Tribolium castaneum: one gene and its partner. The protein of the gene in region 1 purifies or fractionates together with the protein of each later gene. This does not show direct contact. Links are inferred from orthologs where the notes say so. Each region holds a gene or a part of one and is shown in the gene's direction. Other genes may lie near its edges.

Evidence for each region. Proteins that work in one complex are often made in the same cells at the same time.
Region 2: the proteins of Nup98-96 (region 1) and Nup43 purify together in Homo sapiens (affinity purification with mass spectrometry; 4 studies listed by BioGRID and IntAct, counting the BioPlex papers as one, with this or other methods). This does not show direct contact. The link is inferred for Tribolium castaneum from reciprocal best matches to the Homo sapiens genes NUP98 and NUP43.

What each region holds. Positions count from the first base shown.
Region 1 is NC_087403.1:3,504,867-3,514,879, reverse strand, and holds the end of Nup98-96 (nuclear pore complex protein Nup98-Nup96), read left to right. Parts: coding exon 1-678; intron 679-1,650; coding exon 1,651-2,087; intron 2,088-2,140; coding exon 2,141-2,369; intron 2,370-2,418; coding exon 2,419-3,489; intron 3,490-3,537; coding exon 3,538-3,844; intron 3,845-4,058; coding exon 4,059-4,252; intron 4,253-4,304; coding exon 4,305-5,164; intron 5,165-5,212; coding exon 5,213-6,014; 3' UTR 6,015-6,087; downstream 6,088-10,013. Other genes in the region: protein tyrosine phosphatase domain-containing protein 1, read right to left, coding at 6,183-6,346, 6,398-6,545, 6,593-7,083, 7,128-7,405, 7,451-7,634, 7,884-8,006, 8,965-9,080, 9,128-9,208 and 1 more. UniProt on the Homo sapiens protein: Plays a role in the nuclear pore complex (NPC) assembly and/or maintenance. NUP98 and NUP96 are involved in the bidirectional transport across the NPC. May anchor NUP153 and TPR to the NPC.
Region 2 is NC_087398.1:14,038,427-14,049,679, reverse strand, and holds Nup43 (nucleoporin Nup43), read left to right. Parts: upstream 1-5,201; 5' UTR 5,202-5,303; coding exon 5,304-5,525; intron 5,526-5,595; coding exon 5,596-6,064; intron 6,065-8,620; coding exon 8,621-8,979; 3' UTR 8,980-9,019; downstream 9,020-11,253. Other genes in the region: MYND-type zinc finger-containing chromatin reader ZMYND8, read right to left, coding at 1,867-2,343; fand (pre-mRNA-splicing factor syf1 homolog), read left to right, coding at 9,319-9,372, 9,422-10,478. UniProt on the Homo sapiens protein: Component of the Nup107-160 subcomplex of the nuclear pore complex (NPC). The Nup107-160 subcomplex is required for the assembly of a functional NPC.

The sequences.
Region 1 (10,013 bases):
GGATTCGGCTCGGCCCCTCCTCAGCCCGGATTATTCGGCCAACAGCCGCAACAACAACCCGGAACCTCTCTTTTCCAATCAAACACTAATACAATGTTATTCGGAAGTAACGCTTTCGGAAACCAGACCACCGGCACTGTTATTAAATTCAATCCGGTTACGGGGACCGACACCATGCAAAAAAACGGGGTAACCCAGTCGATAAGTACCAAACACCACTGCATCACGTGCATGAAAGAATACGAGAATAAATCGCTGGAAGAGTTGCGATTTGAGGACTATTCGGTTAACCGGAAAGGACCCCAACAACAGGCCGGTTTCGGAAGCACCCCTTTCGGGGCTTCGACCACTACAACGCCCTCGCTTTTCGGGCAAACTGATAACAAACCCGCCTTCGGACAACAACCGCAAGCATTCGGCCAGGCGCCGGCTTTCGGACAAACAACACCAGCTTTCGGATCGACCAACACGACAAGCACTCCGACTTTGTTCGGAAAACCGAACACTTTCGGCGCTACCACTAGCACCCCAAGTTTTGGGTTTAATGTCACACCGGCAACCAACCCTTTCAGCGCTAATCAAGGCGCCAAACCCTTCTCCCAACCCCTGTTCGGGACACAAACCACGCAAGCGCCCGCCACCTTCGGGGCCGGCGTTTTCGGCCAAACGAACACCCAGGTAAGCGCGGTTTTACTTCAAATTTCCGCGATTTTTGTGCTTTTAAGTGCGATAGTGCACGATAATTTTTACTTTAATTATAAATTTATATATCGTCGTTTATAAAAATTTTATTAGGATTATAATTTTGCAAGATATTCAGTACTTATTTATTAAGTAAAGTATTTTTGACCTTCTAAAGCTTATAAAGAATTATATAATGTAAATTAAAATGCATTAAAAATAAAGTAAAACAAATCAATGCACTGACCTTATGGCATTTCCCATCGCATCATCTTCTTAAACGGACCTACTGAAATAAAAACAATGAAGTTAGAACAATACGCCTCTAAATTAGTTGAAAATATTACAGATTTAATGTAATTTTTATGAAAGTGTTGCAAACTAACCCTTTAATCCGGATTGTTTCTTCCTTTTTCTCCCTGGAAATCCATTCTAGTAGCACACACTAACCACTAGCCGCACACGTTCAACACGCACTAGCAACGAATTTAAATTTTTAAACTACAAAATTTTTATTCACGTATTCGCGACAACAGTAAGTAACAAACTGATTGAAATTAAATGGCACATTAATTGTGTAATGTGGATAAAATGCCACCAACAAAAAATATAATCTGCTAGATAATGAATTGTGACAAGGTGGCAAACAAAGAGGTTGTTAGGACTTCGCTATTTAACGTTTTTTGCGGTACCTACCTGAAACATATACAGGAAGGTGCATTTTTAAGGTCAAGTATTCGTAACTTTATTACTATTAAAAAGTACACAGTTCTACCTGTGTAAAAGTACAGAGATTTTATAAAATAAATATTTCCGCAACTCAGGTATCGAATAACCAAAAAAAAAAATTGCTTTAAAATGAATTGAATTAGAAAGTATGAAACTACTTTGCAATATTTGCGAATAAAATACGCTACGTTGGTAAAACGTAGATCAAAAAATCTAGCTTTTGATTTGTTCCCGTTCTAGAATCCTGCGACCAATTTGTTTCAAAAACCGGCGCAGCCCACCACTGGGTTCAATACCGCCCAGACGGGCTTTTCATTTAATCAAACGGGTACGACCCAGAGTTCGAATTTGTTCCAAGTTTCGAAACCCAACACCGGTTTCGGAATTTTCGGCCAAACTAACACGGGAACGACTGGGTTTGGCCAAACGAGTCAACCAGCTTTTGGCTCAAATTTCGGCAAACTAACCCCTAGTACGTTCACACAACCTACTCAACCTACATTTGGTACGAACTTGACCACCGGCTTGCAACAACAACCACTGTTCGGTGCTGCGACGGCAAAACCGCCGAGTCTTTTCGGCGGCACGACAACCGGAAGTGGTAGTCTTTTCTCTAATAATGTTTTTCAACAAACGCCGGCTTCGTACTCACTTAATCTCAACCAGCAACAACCTGCGTAAGTGGTTTTTGTCGGTTTGAAGAGTTTTATTGAATTTGCGAAACTTTCAGTCACTTTCCGCCAGAATCGGGCGACGACAATAAAAGTATCTCGCTGCTTGCAACTGATAGCTTTCCCGATGGGCCGTTCGTTTACGGTCTGGAGCCTAAACTTTTAGATTCGAGTAAAAGTACCACGAACCCGCAGGATATTAAGGCGCTTTTGGATTATTCGAAAAAGAGGGATGAGAGTGCAGGGGCGGGGTCGAAAATCAAAGTTGACTTGCCGAGACCTAAACGAGTAAGTGCTCGTATTGTTTTTGTCGCTGTGTTACTATAATTATTTGTAGGGTACTAACTACAATAAAGAGTTTTTCGAAACGAGCCAGATGCTTAAAAGTTCACATAAATGCCTCGTTATTCGTAAATTCAACGACAGTAATTCCACTATTTACAATAAATACAACAATGAGCTTATCGAGGAAGCTGAGGAGTGTATCAAAGCATCGCCACCAAGTGAGGCCGGTACTTGTGTAATTTTGAGCCCGCGGAGTCTTGTCACTGAGAATGACTACACGGAAGATCTGACCGAGACAGATATCACCAAAAGCAGGAGGAGTTTGAAGTTGCAATTCGACCCATCGGTCACTGACAGCGCCAGAACGAACAAGTCGTCCTATTCGTTCGACGATTCTAGTTACAGTCCCAAAACAGGTTCGAGCAAAACTAGCTTGAGTGAGTCAACGACTGCAAAGTCAACTCCTCGGTTCGGCAACGGGAGTATAGGGATAAACGACGACGAGACAATCACGGACACGGTTCCTGAACTAGCTTTGACTGTGTCGACGACTGACACAGAAAGTACCGAGAATCCCGCCGGTGTGGTACTGACACGACCGGAGTACTACATGTACCCGGCTTTGAAAGACTTGCATCAATACATGGATGAAAACGGCGACTGTATCGTGCAAGGACTGACGATTGGGCGTCGGGGTTACGGCAATGTCCATTTCCCCGACCTGATCAACATCGCCAACATGAACCTGGACGAAATCGTACATTTCCGTCACCGTGAAGTGATTATTTACCCCGATGATAACAAAAAACCCCCAGTGGGCGAAGGTCTAAACCGGCGCGCTCAAGTGACCTTAGACAAAATTTACCCGCGGGAGAAGGGAACCAATAACTACATCACCGACGTCAATCAAATCATCCAAACCAATTTCGTCGACAACCTCATGCATGTCACGCAAAAGCACAACAGCAAGTTCGTCGATTATAGGCCCAACACCGGGTCGTGGGTCTTCAAAGTGAAGCATTTCTCCAAATACGCGTTCACGGACAGCGACGAGGAGGAATGCGAAGTCTCGGCGGATAAAACCGTCACTAAGAAGGCGCAAGACCTTTTGAAAAAGCTTGATGTAAGTAGATATTTTCCTCTGGGTGTGGGGGTCTTATATCTGTTGAAGAAGGTGGACGAGGTGCCGCCACTTGGGTTAGGGGGCAGTGCCCAGGTAAGCAAAACGCGACTCATGCAGGACTCGGAGGGTTTCGCCTCCGAGCCGACGTTACTCGACTTCTGGCCCGAAGAGGATCAATACACCATTTCGGAGGAGATGTACCACACAGAATCGTCGATCCAGACGCTCAAGTCGTCGCTTTTTGTCAATTTGGAGAGTCAAGAACCGAAGAAGACGCAAAGTGTTCTCAAACAACAGCTAATCCCGAGCAAGGTTATTGTGACGCCTAAGGTCTACAAACTACCGGATATCAGACGTAAGTGTGCAGGAAATCAGCATTCTAAAGTAGATTATTTCCATGGCCCTTAAAACAGCTCGAATTGTTCCAGTAACTATTGTGTTACCAGTTTTTTCTAAAATATTACAGCGTGTCTATTACGTACGATTAAATAATTTTCAGTTTGTTATATAATATTTTAATAGTATTTTTGTTTTCTAAGAAATAAAGCTATATTTGTTTATTTATTTAGTGGCAATCGTTCCGGAAAAAGTCACCACAACTCAAAAGTGTTACACGGAGATGGGCGTCTTCCGCTGCAACACGTATAAAGTGGGGTGGGGGAAAGGTTTCAATTTCTATAACTATGATCCTGTTGCTGACAACGAGGTGGTTTATGCCCTCACTCATTGTAACGTCGATGTCATGAATGCGAACTCAGCAATGGTTAGTTGTGCGTTTGTGTTATCTTATCATGTGTTGTATAATTTGATTGTAGCCAAACTTGACTGATTTACTTAAAGTAACCCTTGAGGAAAGTGATATCGTGCTTGATAATAACCAAATACCAACTCTTCGTATTAAATGCGACTTGAATTACCTGCAAAAACAAACCGATTTATTCAACGATTACGTAAAAACTCAGCCACTGTCAGGCCGGGAAAAGTACTATTGTAGCGTTTGGAATTTGTGTTTGGCGCTGTGGGGACCGGGCGATAACACGCCTTGTATGCGAAGACAGTACGTCAGTGACTGGTTGAGAAAATTTTCGTACGAGTTATCCGGCGACGTAACTTTGCATGACCGAATCGGTCGTGACGAAAGTGAGGCATTTAAAACGATTTTCAAACTATTGTCATTCCATAAAATTGCTGAAGCGAGCGAGTTGGCCGGTAGCAACAATTTGAGTCAGTTGAGTCTGCTGATCAGCCAGATGAGTGCCAACGAGAGGGTGAAAGCCTGGTTGAGGAAATACGTGGAGAGTTTTGAATGGAGGGAGAGGGATGTAATCACTGATGATTTCAAAAGATTGTATTTGCTTCTTGCCGGCATACCGGTGCATGAAATTATAAACACTTGTGAGGATCTGGACTGGATGAGGAGTTTCGGGGTGCATTTGTGGTACGTGGCCCCAGCTGCAGCTCCGATTAGTGTGGCGTTTAATTTGTATAAGAAAGCGTTTGAGGAACTTGACTATGCAGCAAAGCCGGTACCGCCGCACTGCGAGGCTGATTCGCCAGTAAAACACTACGATATTCTCTACCAAATTTTGACGCTTTATGTTGATGGTACGCATCAATTATGTAATGTTTTGCATCCCGAAACACACACTGATAATCTCATGGACTATCGGCTTAGGTAAGTTTGCAAAAAAACAAACAGTTTTGTGTAAATTGAATATTGTAGTTGGTTTTTGCTTCAATTGTTTGCGTCATTGCGAGTCGGGTTGATTCGCGAGTCGGAAAAGGATCACTTGCACACAACGTTCGCCACCCAGTTGGAGAACTTGGGCCTTTGGAAGTGGGCGATCTTCTGCCTCCTCTTCCTTGAAAACAACTTGTTGAAAAAGAATCTGGTGATGAGAATCCTTGATAGGAATCTCTCGACTCGAACCGAGTCAGTTGAGAGAGAACTTGTGAAGACTTTCAAAATTCCCGCATCTTGGATCCACGAAATCAAAGCTACGAAAGCCAAAATCGCCGGTCGCTACTACGAGTACTTCCAGCACTACATCTACATGGGGAAGTGGCAAGAGGCCAATGCCGCTTTTATTGACAATATTTTACCCGAGCTGTTCATTAACGAACAGTACGACTATTTGAATAGCTTTATCAATAAGATCCAACCGTATTCCAATCTCCTAGTGAACTGGAACACGCAGGTTGGACTTGTTAAGGAATTTCTGGAGTTGCAAGAAACATTGGGTGGAAGTACCGAAGTGTCGTCCGTTGGGGGAAAACTAGCTTCCTTGTTCCGAAGAATTAACTGCTTTCCGACTAATAACGACAAACAGAAGCTGTTCGTTGTTGAACTTTCGCGAAAATGTGCCTTGCTGTTTAAGATTTTTCACAAGAGTTTAGATAATCCGGTGTTCCAAGCCAAGTTTGTTGAGATTTTGAACAATCTGGCCATGCCTCCTGATATTAAGCATTATGAGTTCTTTCATCTGTTCAACAAATTCACCGTAGAGGAGCCAGAAATTCGTTAGTTATGTATTTTTAATAATTGTCATTTTATGTTTATTGTAATTCCTTTCTGCTTAATAAATATGTTATTGTGGACGAGTGGTTTTAATAAAAACGTACGCGATGGATTAAGGAGATTCATTAAAGAAGTACATACATTAAAAAAATAGTATTTCACACACACATTTCGTTTATTGGAAGTCATTCTCGAGATCATTCTCGTTATACATCTTGCTTTCTTCTAAGTAAACACTCGACTTAAGGCTGTGGTGAACTTCAATCAGTTCAAACAACGACTGGAAAAACTCTATTGTGCAAGCCAACGTTCCGTCCCGCAGTTTTTTAAACCCTTTATCTGCAACCACGGCCGGTTTGTGTTCAACGCGGCAAATGCAAAAATACAAACCTATCGGTTTCATCTTCCCTTGGATTAGCAAAGTTTGCTGCGAGCATGCGGCAATTATCCGTTTTATCAAATCCTCCTGATTCTCTTTACTAATCGGGTTAATTTTACTGACAAATCGGAGCAAATATTCCATGAAATAGCCTTCTTCCTGGAACAAAAAACTAGTTATATTGCGTCCTCACAGAGGATACATACAGCTGGAAACTTCTGGAAGCAGACTTCAGGTTGCTTGTAATTGACGACAATGTTTTCAAAAAACTCGCGTTTCATGACCGGATGCTTCAGACTCTCGATCCACTCAAAAAGCAGCATCGCTAAAATCCTCAAGTCCGTCTCAATCGCAAGCTTCGCCCACCCGACTTGGGACGAATTAATTTCGATTTGAAACTGTCTCACTTTCTTTTTGATCTCATTCGATAGCGTTGAATAATCCAGTAATAGTGCATCGACTGCGACATTTATGTCTTGGATAACTATTGATTCCTCACTCATTTCTTGATTGAAACACTTTTGTGTTTCCAACTCTTGAAAACATCGATTTTCTATTAAAAGTTCTTCCCTTATTTCGTCACCGTCTAGGGTGCTCAATTCGGAAAACGAGTCGCTCGGGTCGCCATTCTCGGAAGGGTTTGGACTAGAAGGTGAAGAGATTTCTTCAGGAGACTTTAATTCGTTGGAAAAGAGCGCTGAAAAGCGGCATAAGCCAAAATAAGCGCACCAAACGACTCACAATCGGAGTTCGTGCTGCACAAGCTGTAGGTACTTTCGTATCTTTTGATGTTCCCGTTGAGTTTCGTGTAAAGGAAATCGAAGGTGAGTGGCGTGTTTGACGAGAATTCGTCAATCCAGCAGCCACACAGCTTCAAAATCCGCTCGCAAATGCAGTGGACGATCTTCGGTATGAATTTGAAAGTGCGTTCCTCGTAGCCGTGGAGGATGACCCTCTGCCTGTGCAGGAACCGCACCAAGCTAAACTCACTCATATATTTGTTTTTGTTGATGTTTTCTCTGAAACGTTAATTTTGGTTTCGGGACAATACCCAGTTAACATACTTGAGACAGTAGGTTATAGTTCGGGGAAGTACAAATTGTGCGAAATGGCGGACACATAAAATTTGTCCCCGGGTTTGGACCGACCCCGGCCTTTTCAACCGGACGTATCTTATGGCATCGTTTGCGCTAACTCGAAGCGAGTAAACCAAGTAACACGCTATCAGAACCCCAGTTCTCCCTAGACCTGAAAGTTGATCGTTTGATCAGAATATTTAATGCCCGTGGCCTTGAAACAGCGATGTTGATTATACATCATGTCAACACAGAAAATAAAGTTTTCTTGATAGCAATTAATAAAAAATGAACGTGGTGTTGGACCAATAAATATGATTGACGGCGTGTTTACACTACTTAATAAAATCAATACCAAATACAGAAATAAAAGTAACAAACTCATCAACTCGGTCATATCGCATGTTGCTTATATTCTTACCGGCGTGGCAGTGAATAGCCACGCGTCCTTCCGTTACGGCAAACGCCAGGACCTTCACCATGTTGAGGAGGCCCACCAGCGTGGCATCCCCGTAGTCCTTCCAGGCGAAATTGTAATAAAAAACTGGAAATGGGCATGGATTTTAAACTGTGCGACTTGAGTGTGACTAAAAATCCCCCATTAAAATAAATGAGGCTAATTAATTATGGAAAAAGTCGATATCAAAGCGCACTTTGCACGTCACGCGAGCATAATTGACCGGGAAAGGAATTTCCCACGGGATAAAAACCCTAATTCCCTTCGGGTAATTGGAAGCTTATTGGGTTTGTCGATTTCGGCCAAAGCTCGGCCGGTTTATAGTTAGAACAATGCGTAAATAATTTACCCTAATCGAATACGGTTCTTCATTAAATAAAGTTCAGATAGGGGTATTCAACAAGTCGATTCATTTACGAATCAATTCTGCCCGATTTAAATAGACAGTTGGGCTCAAGCACCAATTAATGATTAATTCGATTTAAACACGTTAACGGGGCGAATTCACGCGATTTTATGTAGGTTAACTTATCAGGTTTATACCCCTATGTTGTACGACCCGATTTCCTTATCAACGGACGAGAAATTTAGAAAATCTACATACGCGTAATAACTGACTGAAAGATTTATGACGGGGGTTTTTCGCATTTGCATTTTCCGGAAACGCTATTTTTATACTTTGTTGTTTTCGGGGGCCGATATTGTGGCAATGTTTTCCATTCGCAGACGTAATTACAGTTTTTTATTTATAGAATATTTTCTTTTCGGAATCAATACAGATAAAGTCTTTAGGTAATTATTTCGTGTAATCGCGATTGCCCACGAGGGAATTATCTCTAATTTCAGTTAGTTTTGTTTTTCGTGCAGGAAATGGTATTTATGTTGTTATGTCAACGAAAGCTCATGCACATTATTGAATAAATTTACTTATGGGTTTGAGTAGGTGAAAAGTAGTTCAAGTGTAAATATCGGATCGATTCCTCAACCGAATTAGCAATTAACATGCACACAAAAAGATGCGGTTGATAACATTGTTATGACTTACTATTGTGTTCCATGAATATATTTGGGTCGTAAGAAAAGCCCGATTCTTCCAGCGGTTGCCCGCAACTTGCATGCTCTCTCGGTGATTGTAAATTAATTATCGATTTTATTCCTAAACTAAAGAGGTATCATAATAACTAAATAATTTAGGAGCTCGGGTGTACCTTTCAAATTGTTGAATTATATTCTTTTGTACAATCACCATAGTACTAGGACGTGCCATCGCTAAAATATCGTCAGTTATCCTGCAAAAACGTGCCTCATGATTTATCACGTTAATTGCGCAATTTGAGGATTTTTATTCCAGGAGATACTCACCAATGTGAGTATATCCCCTGTATGGCCAAACTGTCGGCTTTCCAGTTTTCCGGATTTTCGTATTTACAATTAGTCCCGCCACAGAAAACGCTACACTGAATACCTTGCGGTGTCAACCGTCTTATATGATCAGATAATTTACTGTAGTTCGCTTGCACGGTTTCATTAGTCGCACTTTTAACTTCGTACAGTTCCATGGTAAAAAACTACATACACCCTCACCGCTTTATTTCAAAATGATACAATCAAACAAGCACATTTTTAATCGAGCTTTTAGCGCATGCTTGAATTTATTATTAGATATTATCTGCATAAAAGCTGAAGAATGGTCGCTAAGGTAAATATCCGACACGTCAGAAACACTGAAAAATAAAAATTATTTGCGCACTGCGTATACGGACGATTCGCCGATTTTGAATTAGTCATGTGGGGCAGGTAAACAGGGGCTGTTCGGGTCATAAGAAATATTCAAAAAATTGCGTACCGCGCTGTATTTTTTGTGCAAATAACAAACAAAGGTGAATTTTATTAGTTATTCTACTGGTTAATTAATAAATTAATAATGATTTGAACAAAAAAGTGTTAGTGTAGGCAACCAATTAAACACGCACTGCGCTAAAAATTGGAATTTTGGCGCTTGAAGAATAAAAACATGAAACCAGATTTAATTGAGTTTTTTATTGATTGAGTACCGTTTTGCATCACGTTGAGTAAATATTTGACATTTGGGAT
Region 2 (11,253 bases), on another chromosome or scaffold:
CCCCTAAGCGAAGAACATGACCGACGGGGGCGCTGCGATCGCTGGAATATGGCGGTTGTGTCACTGGCGCCATACGGATTTTTGTACAGTTTTGTAATTTGTGACTCTCTTATTTGTATTTGGTGCATAATAAACTAATAGAGGTGTCGCTTTAGAACGTTTATACTTAACCCCCCTGGAAGATGCCTGAAGATTAAAATTTTAAAAAGAATGAAACATGTGTTTCTTCATTTTTTACCGAAGGCCTAAATAGTACGATGGCGAGCAAAAAGTTTCGGACACATTTGACGTTTCGCTGACATAAACGTGTGTAATTCCCTATCCTTCTTGACAATGAAATGTTAAAAGTGCCCGAAATTTTTAGACAAGACCGGAGTCAAAATTTTAGAAAAACTTAACATTATCTCCGTTAATAAAAACATTTTATTAAGACGATTTAGGCTAAAACTATGAAGAATAATGCATAGAGCCTCGTGTTAAAAGAAACATCTCAACTTCGTAAACACCTTGTATATCTTCAAAAATGTCGAATTTTCATATTGAACCCTCTACAAGTGGAATTTCCAAAAAACCTAAAACAAGTTTTTCATTTTTAAGCAAAAGCCCAAATACTAATTTTCCATAGTTCAAATTAAAAAAAAAAAGATTTTTTATATAAAATTTAGCCCCTGTTTAACCCCCTTGAAGGTAGAATTTTCAAAAACCTGAGAGCTTCATTAATAGTCGTAAAGTGCTTTTGTTCAGGTACAACTATCATTTGTTCTATTAGGTGACGGGATGAATATGATTCTAGTCTACTTGCTATTTTAAAGTTATAGTCAAATTAAAACTTTCTGTGTTTCCGTGTTATTTTGTGTTAAATTGGTTAATTTTAAGTGTGCAGTCATTTCATTAAATACATCAAAACCATATTTCTAAAATTTTCATATCACTTGTTCTCCGTTTCAAAACTATGGAAATACCAACGTCACATTTTCTCTTCTTATAAATTATTCATTTGCACTTCAAAAAATTAATAGCTGTCTCATTTCAGTTCTTAGTAGAAAATGGCAACAGCGCCTTTGCATTTTTTTTAGTAGAATAGAGCACAAATTGAGAGTTTCTGTGAAATAATTCAGTGTTAAATAGAATCCCAGCGATAGAGCCAAGAGAATTCAAAGCGAAAATTAGTTTTAAAAATTGACAGCTGTTGCTAAATGTTTGAACCGGACCATAATGCAATTTATATACTTATTAAAACAAATAATTCGGTAAAATGCAACGGCGGCACTTCCGTAGTTTTGAAACAGAGAGTATCCATCTATGTTTTTTATAGACACTCTGTATAAAAATAATGTAGATGTCACTTGTTACGTGATTGGCAAAGTTCTTACATACCACAAAATAATCTAAAATTAGTGAAGATCTACGTTTTTGTTGAATGAACTATTTTACAAAAAGTTGTAATTTTACTTATCATAATACGTGACGTAAAATATTAGCGCAGTATCTAAAAAACAGTTGTTAATTTTACACAACTAAAATATGCCAACATGCGCTTGGTGTATATTTACAACCTTGTACTCGAGACAACAACTGTAATAACACTTTTTGTGTAATACAACGTTAATGAAACCTGTTTTAGATCAGGGCCTTTTGCTGGAAACGGCAAGAAAGGCTTCAAGCACCATTTAATTGTAAAAATATATTTTTTTGTTGACATTTGAACAGTTTGTGCAACGTGTGAAAAACAAATCACAGCCAACTATCACTCGCACGATCGTGACAAGTTGGCGTTTTTTACAAACACTTGCGTCCACTTTTCTTGTTTATAGCTCAAATGAGCACTAGTTTGAACACAATTTGTGTATTTCTGAGCCGCCTTACCTTCCTTGCCATGATAAAATCGTTGTTATAAAACTGCAGCCCCCTCCTTGCCTCATCGGCGGTGGCGCCCTCTGCCCCGCTTTCGCCTCCGAAGCTCGATTTTCGTTTCTTCGCTTTTTTCTCGTCGATTTTCACGTCGTAATTTTCCAGCTCGCTCTCGGCTGTAACAGGAAAACTCGTCATTTTGGGTGATTTTTTCGGCGTGCCCTTGACTTTGTCTAGCGTTTTGCGTCTGTTTGTTGACAGATTGGTGTCTAGCTTCGCCTCTTTAGACAAAGCGAGAATGGATTTGAGCTCGCGGCTGGTTTTGGGGGTGCTGGTGTCGTCAGGGGACTCACTTGGCGGTGGGGGCTCCTCGGGCGGCGTTGGGGGCTTGTCGTCGCCGTTCTGGGGCTCCTCGGGAGGTGGAGCGGGCGGTTCGGCTTCCGGCGGCGGCGGCGGGGGCGGCGCAAGGTCGAGCTGCTCGCTTTCGGACATTGTCGTGGGTTATAGTGATCTAGCAAATGCACAGTTGGTATTGTTTGGTTACAAACGACTTGAACTCGATGCACAATGGAAGGGAAATGCGCGTTTTACAGCCGTGGAAAGCGGTTCATTGCGGGCTCGGAGGAAAATTCGGCCACTTTTCAGCACTAAAGCCGGCTTTCGGCAACTCGCTACACTTCTTCGCTCTTATTTACATAACCTAGAATAAAACCCTTTCTGTTAGCTCTACACATGTTTGGAGCGACTGACTTGGAAAACATCGTCGTAGCAAGGGGTTTTACTCACCGTCTAGCTTAATTTTCATTGGAAAAGCTCATTATTGATGAAAAATCAGCATTATCGATAGTAGAGAATGCATCACATTCACAACACTTCCACTGTATTTATAATATTTGCCGTTGGGGGCGCTGATGTTAATGTAACTTGACTGGAGTTCAGCGTTTGGTGTAGGGGAGAGGAAGGAAAAGTGGGTCACATGGTTTTTTCTTGAAACTTTACGTCACGGCTTCACATCGTGTCTGACGTAGGTATCACGTGACACAACCTTTGAAAAAGTCCCCAGTTGTTACTGCATATACTTGATTTTAATAATATTTATTTAGTTATAAATTGCATATGCCTTAGAATTAAAATTAAAAGAAAATTTAAGAATTCTGTGTTATAATTTATAATGATCCGAGGGATAAACAGCAGATCTAAACTTAAACACCATACTTCCTGTACCTTGTGCAAACGCCTTAGCTTTTATACCTCTGCTGTTAGCTACCCTTATTTCAAAATTTTAAATGAAATCCCCTACGTTTTGTAACAGTTTTGAAAACTTGCAAAAAACCTTATCAAACCGTGAAAAAAGATTATCGATTCGTTTATATATTGGGGGATGTTTTATTTTTGCAATTTTGAACTCTAATAGTAGTACTACATATCTGATTTAGAGTCAATTTAATTTAAACAAAAAACTAGTGGGTTACTGTGAAGGGAAATTTCAAAACAAACTCCAAGTACCTACTCGTCAAAAACTACCCTTAATCGATATGCTCCTTTGTTAAATTAAATTGGTTTAAGAATTAAACGTTTTAGGTTTAGGTTTTTAAAATAAAACCACTCCTAACTCAAAAACGAAATATAAATCTTCAGTTTGTTTTATTTACACAAGAGCATTAGAAATCAGGTGACATGCGTCTTAACTTTTGGGCTTGCGCAGTGGTGTAAATTTATAGATAAAGGTAAACTCCCAGTACATCCCCGAAATCCCTGTAAATCCTTAAACTTGCACACCATACATCCACAGCTGTTTACAGGTCGTAATGGTTATAAAATAATATAATCAATTTTTATGTAATGTAGAGTCACAAAATATGTATTATTACAAAAAATCATCGATAAACACTTTCTCATGTTTTTTAACAGTAGGTATAGAGAGAATTATTATTGTAAAAATAGTAAGTCCTGTTAGCCTTTTTCAATATTATGTTTTCGCCTAAGATTCCGCATCCAATACCCTTTATGCTTCGTCCTAAACTGACAAACATTATTTTCTTCCAAGCGAAATTGTGGAGATATACTAAAGTAATATTTCATGACAACAATGCAATGGGGCCAGAAAATGATTAGTCTGCAGTAAAAAAGATGTTTATTGCTCACTTCGTCTCACTTTTCAGAACAGATGTTACCATGAGCAGACATGGGGCCTAAGCTGAAGCAAGCCCAAAGAAACCCTAACTTGCGAATCATTTTCTGTCGTCAACTGCACTGTTATAAAATATTACTTTAGTCAATCTTAACTACTCTGCTTGGAAGATAATACAAAATAACTATTTAATATTATTATTGGTTTTAAAATGAGATTTGTGACATACAATAAGGGCCTTACGTTTCACCAAATTATTCTATAAAGTTAAGTGAAACATTTAAACCTGTTCTGATATGTAATGTTCTAAAAACATGTTTTTAAACAGCGTCTTGAAAATAGTCTGTGCAACAGACATTTAATGAGGTTGAAAGTATATGGTGGTGCAGTGTGTGATCTTTTAAATCGCCGGCTTTATTTTTTGCATCATATGAACATTCGCGACATTTAAATATATATTGTTTACAGTACTGAAATAACCATGTCTGTTACTAATAGCAAGTTTTAGAAACACTAATACAAAAAACGTCTCTAAATTGCAACTAACGCAAGCTGTGAATGGAATCACACATTTGATTCAAAGGCACATGTTTAATGTGTGTATAGTGTATCTTATTCAATGGTGTCCCTTTAAATGTAGAAACTGGTTCGTCTCAAAGGAATAATCACGACATTTGTGCTCCTCAAGGGGCTGCTACAACACTAAACTGGCTTAGTGTCTTCCTCAGGCAACAGCTGTTTAATCATTTTCGTCTTCGATTTTTTTATCAATCTGAAAAATTTCTAGGTTAAAAAAGTTGTAAATTGTTTTAGTTTTACTGACCTGTTCCATTTCTTGGCTTTGGGAGAGCTTATCACATACTTTATTTTGTATTTATTACTAAATTCGTCTAATTGCCTTTCATGTAGGGGGGCTTTATAAAGGCCAGTTCTGTTGTTGAAATTTCATGACTGACATCTAGTGGAAAACATTACTGTCAGTGAACAGGTTGCCATGAACGTACACCTACTTCCGTTTCTATAAAATAAACCCCCCACATAAAAAAATCTGTTTTAAATAGTTATTTTATTTTTAAACATAAACTTATTACAGTTCAGCCGTAACAATATTTTCTAAACATTAATCATGTATTCTTATAACGTACTTCTGGCTTAAAAAAATGTAGAGTCGTTAAGCAATTTGTCTTATAGATTTGATACGGAGTATACTCCACCGCACGTATAGTGGGTTGCCTGACAATTATTCAATTATGCTTTCAACGACACAGTGAGGTTATAGCGCCACTTTTTTAATTTTTATGGGCTTAATTATACACAAAATATGGCCCACAACATTCATGGAACATTTGTTTCTGAAAAAGTTAATAAAATCCGTTGGAGGCCCGATTTTATGAATGCCTCGCATTATTTTGTAACCGGCAGTTGGGACAATGACCAAAACAGCATCAAACTTTGGGATTTCCAAGAAAATGAAGAAGATGCCGAAGTTTATCCATTTCTGGTGGCTGAATTTCCACACAACGGGGACATAACTGAAGTTAAAGTATGTATATTACAATCAGTATTGCGATACGAGCCACGTAGCGAGTGAAACAATTTTTGTCATTTTTTAGTTCTTAAACGGCGATTTTTTCGTTGCTTCTTCGTCGTCGGGCTGCGTCAGTCTGCTGAAGATTACTTCCGAACATGGAATTGATCCCTTAATTGAGAGAAAAATTTACTGGGAGGGAGTTCACAAATTTCCCAATGGGGAGAATTGCCCTTGCACTGCCTTTTGCACCTACGACAACGATATTGTGAGCGTTGGCGAAGACGGTTCTATCAATTTGTTAAATGCCCAAAACCAAAACGTTATCCGCACAATTGAAAACGCCGATAGTTGCTCAATTCGTTGTGTGGCTTTTCTGAAGCATAGCGAAATTTTGACCGGTAATTTTCGTGGACAATTGAAGATTTTCGATATTCGGGCCCCTAAAAGCCAACCCGCGACCACTTTCATGTTGAGTGGGGATCAAATCTCGCCATTGTGTCTCCAAAACCACCCTACACAGAGGCATTTGGTGGTAGCTGGCGATGAAGAAGGTACCTATTTTTTTTTTATTTATGTTGGCAAACGCCAAAAATGGTGCCAACTTAAAGGTATTGGCAACTTTCTTTTAAATGATACCAAAATAGTTATTTACATTATACGTGCGGTAGGTATAATTTTACAGCGTGAAGTTTTAATAAAATTGAACGCTGTAAAATGAGTCGTCTAGTTCCAAAACCTGCCGTCTCTATTCAGTATTTTTGTTTAATGTTTAATACAAATGCTGTTGAACAAATAAATTTTAAATTACACTGATATAAAACCTCTTAGAGAGTAGAATTCGATGACCTATACTTTAATTACAATGTTTGAATTTAAAGCCTGCATTTTTTTTAAGGTTGGAGGTGGCAAGTTTTGGAACAAGTTGGAGAGGAGATGGGCGGTTATGGAACAAAATGTCTTTTAAAAATCCTTTTTTTAAGACTAGATAGTGAAATGGAATAAAAAAACTCAAACTACGTATTTGCTGAAATAACATGTGGCTAAAGTTTTAAGTCTTTTAAGGCAAACACATAACTCCAAAAAACAACGCGGAGATAGTTGATTTTGGAACGCATATATAAGATTACTTTACGTAAAGAAATGACATTGATATTTCAAACTTTAATGCAGTTGATGTTAATAACTATTTTTTGTTAGTATTTAGTCCGCCAGATAATTGTGCTAAATCCACATTATCATTAGTACGCAAAAAAATCAACGATAATGGTTCCTTTCGTCTTCAGCTTGCTGCTGTTGATGAAGTTTATGAAATAGTTATAGTGTTGACGAAAATATTTTTATTTTTGATGTTGTGTATAGTTCTGCGTAACTGGCTATGTCTATACCATAAACCAATGAAAACTTCCACAAAACCGCATCAATTATTTTGGGCATCTTCTTAGTACCTGCAAGAGGCTCATTATCTTTTAGGATTCCTTCTTGTAAACAACAATGATCAAAATAATAACTGCAATTGTGGGGTAAGTTTTTGTTGGTTTGCGGTTGACATAGCAAGTAATGTGAGAACTATAAGTATATACCCTATATATACTCAAAATTGACGCCCATGCTTTTAGGATTTGCTTCAGAAGACTAAAACAAATCGAAAGTTAAGAGTGAAAAATTGTCCAATTGTCCTTCGTTATCGAGTTATTGATAAGTATCTAAAATTTAAAATTTGTACATTAAATTTTATTAAAAGCGAATTTACCAAATTTGTTGTCACAAAGTATGCTATAATGCGATTTGGAAACTTTTCCGTGTAGGCCCTAGTCTCAGCAGTGGCATTGCCATCATACAAACATCTTACTTATAACCGAGCTTTTAACATATCGTCAAAATTTCGAATACACTAATAAAGTGGTATCTTATCATTTAACACATACAAAAACGAAGGAAATTAATAATACTCTTTACTAGACACAGTTATTCAAAGAATTTTAATATCGCTAACATCAACTAATCAATTATGTTGCACAAATAATTGGAAAGACAGCTAAAGCTTATTATTTACATTTTTATCAATAACTCTAAAACGAACAATTGGAAAATTTTTTACTCTTAACTTTCGATTTGTATTAATACCCTAAATCAAACTGCCATAGCACAGGCGTCAATTTTGAGACTTTTACTTGTTAGAACGTAATCTATTCAACATTTTTCAAACGAGCGTAAATGGTTGGCTTGGTTAAACGAAACTGATCGAAGAAATTTACATCACTAACAATTTCAAAATAATTTTTCTTTTTCTATAAATTTTTTGTCTTCGCAGTTCGGAAGAAGATAATGAATTAGAAGAAAAAATGAACACTTTCTTAATTTTGTGCAATTCAAAAAACTGACAAATTTAACGTTTGTTAAAGTTGCTTTTGTAATTTGCCGCCGTCTTTACGTCTTTACCTAATCATTATTTGACGAAATATTTTACGAAAATTTTTAGGTTGAAACGCATTTTAAAAATTGAAGTCACTTTTAAAAGTTTAAGTTACTTTAAAATGATTTATGAAACGATCCTACTTCAAGTTATTTCGATATAAATTTGGGATTATGACGTCATAACCGTCTCTCGAGCATTATTTGGTCCAATTTTAAGATCAAATAGTTTTTGATCACTGCCAAAGAATATCGAAATGAAGACACAATTTCTGAGATATTTTCGCAAAGTGCAAGACAAAATTTAGAACAGGTAGGAGTTTGGAAAGTAGTTATTTTTTTGATTTTGTAGAAGATATGTGAAAAATATGTGATTAATAAAAGGTTTCTGTGATGAGAGGCGGTTGTGACGTTAAGGCTTCACTTATTTTTTGCTGCAGAAAATTTTGAAAAAAGTCTCTATAGTTCCAATTTCCGTTAAAAGATAAATTAGGTAAAATACAATGTGTTCAAAAATGGTGGTTCATCAAGTTAACTATTTTAAATTTAAATTAAGCGGCACATTACGTTCAAATTTCATATGTGACTTGATGAACGAAGTTTTTTGAGCACATTTTATAAGTTGCCACTGCCTTCAATTTTAGTCATAGACCACTCTGATCAGAATTCGAAATATGTTATTTACTCCGTTTCAGGTTCGATAACGATATGGGATTTGCGCCAAAACACATATCCTGTGAATGTGTTGGATGCTCATGAGGGAGGCGTTATGGAAATACACTTCCATCCAGATCATCCTGACCAGCTATTCACTTGTTCCACTGATGGGGATGTTTGGCATTGGTCGCCTAAATGTGGCAGTGCCTCTAGTTTGCTGAATGGGGAGAATGTTTGGTTGGCATCCGAGGCTATCAAAAATAAGTTGGATGTTTTTACGCTCATGCCTAAATTGCACAAACCAATCAATAGTCTGGATGTTAACAGAAATAAGGTTCTTTGTGGGTGCGATAACGAGGCGGTTTATTTAATCAATGGAGTTAATGTTTTTAAGTAATTGTTTTGTACAAAGTTTCTAATAAAAAGTTGAACCACTATTTGGTTGTTGGCATATACGTGATAGCTGGAGGTCGTTATAATGGGTTCGTTATAACCAGACTCTACTGTATTATATCTTTGTTGATCATATCATCAGCATTTTACTAAGGTGTTTTAGGTTAAAACTTAGAAATAAGAGCAATATATACTACCACTTGTTAAAAAACACCACAATTTCACATTTTGTATATTTTTAATTTCGCATTTGTTGGAATTCGCTTTTGACCGACAATAATAACTAACCTCATCTACTTAACCTAACATTTCTCAACGTTATATTTTCGTTCAAAGCGCCGCAATGCCTGTCTCTAGCGATGTTGTTCGTAAAGAAACCCCCATGGAAATTATATTTGTACGTATCCCGTTTCAAAATTAGTCCAAAATAACTGCGAAAATTCCAGACAGACGAAGACCTCCCTTACGAAGAAGAGATCCTCCGCAACCCCTACTCTGTGAAGCACTGGCTGCGCTACATTGAGCACAAGAAGAAGGCCCCGAAGCACGGCGTTAACATAATTTACGAGCGGGCCCTTAAAGAGCTCCCCGGCTCTTACAAACTTTGGTACAACTACTTACGCACTCGCCGCCTCCAGGTGAAAAACCGCTGCATCACAGACCCCGCATTCGAGGAAGTCAACAACGCTTTTGAGCGCTCCCTTGTTTTCATGCACAAAATGCCGCGAATTTGGATGGATTATTGCAGTTTCCTGACCGATCAGTGCAAGATAACGCGGACTCGGAAGGTTTTCGACCGGGCTTTGAGGGCGCTCCCGGTGACCCAACACCACCGGATTTGGCCCCTTTACCTCACATTCGTCAAAAAGCACGACATTTCCGAGACCGCTGTGCGCATTTTTCGCCGGTATTTGAAGCTCAGTCCGGAGAATGCGGAGGAATACGTTGAGTATTTGACCGAAGTTGGGCGTTTGGACGAAGCCGCCGTTGTGTTGGCTAAGATTGTCAATGATGAGAATTTCGTGTCACAGCACGGGAAGTCCAAACACCAGCTCTGGAACGAGTTGTGCGAGTTGATTTCGAAAAATCCCGAAGAGGTGCATTCGTTGAATGTTGATGCGATTATCAGGGGCGGCTTGAGGCGGTACACTGATCAGTTGGGGCATTTGTGGAACTCTCTGGCTACGTATTATGTCAGGAGCGGGTTGTTTGAACGGGCGCGGGATATTTACGAGGAGGCGATTCAGACGGTTACAACTGTGCGGGATTTTACGCAAGTCTTTGACGCCTATGCACAGTTTGAGGAGTTGACGTTGAGTAAACGGATGGAGGAGGTGGCGCAAAAGCCCAATCAGACTGAAGATGATGATATTGAGTTGGAGTTGAGGCTGGCGAGGTTTGAGAATTTGATGGAGAGGAGGCTGTTGCTGTTGAATTCGGTTCTCTTGAGGCAGAATCCGCATAATGTGCAGGAGTGGCACAAGCGAGTGCAGCTGTATGAAGGTACGTTTGTAAATTAATATCATACAATTTTACTCGTATTTATTACTAAAATATCGGAAATTTTACCTTGTAAAAGTTGTACGATTTATGGTCACTTGTCTTTGAAAGTAATAGAAATTTAATTGTATTTTTCTCAATTTTTATGAATCGAAGATCGTCGATGTCACATGCAATTGTAAGCAGTTTAAAACTTGCATATATATCGGGCACTTGCTCATCTACCATTATTTATCTACTGCCTGTTTTATTGTAAAAAAAACCTATACGGACTCTTCAAATACATACAGGGCGTCTCAAAAATGGCGAATTCCGAGTTTATAGCATTGTAGAGAATCACTTCAGTAGTCCAAATGTAGAAAAAAAAGTTTTGGGTCTTCCCCACTTCTAATTAATAAAAAATTAAAAAACATTCTAAGGGTGGATAATCGTCGGCTAACTTTATCCTGGGGAGAAATTTTAAAAAATACATTGTTGTAACAATTGTGACCATAGTAATTATACCAAAAATACCATATCCGGAGTTTATTTCACGATTGTAAAATCCACCCCAAAATGGATTGAATTTAAAAAAAAAAAGACTTTTCAACTTAGTTGATTTAAGAAGAGAATAATTTAATTTTGGCTACTACAGTGATTTTTCAGCTTATTTTGATAAAACTGGATTCTAACAAGTATATTTTTACTGTACAGGGTAGTGCAATTTGGAAGAGGTTTTTAGAAAACAACGAGTGACACATTCTCAAATCCGTTTTTTTGAGAAAATAAAATTGATAAA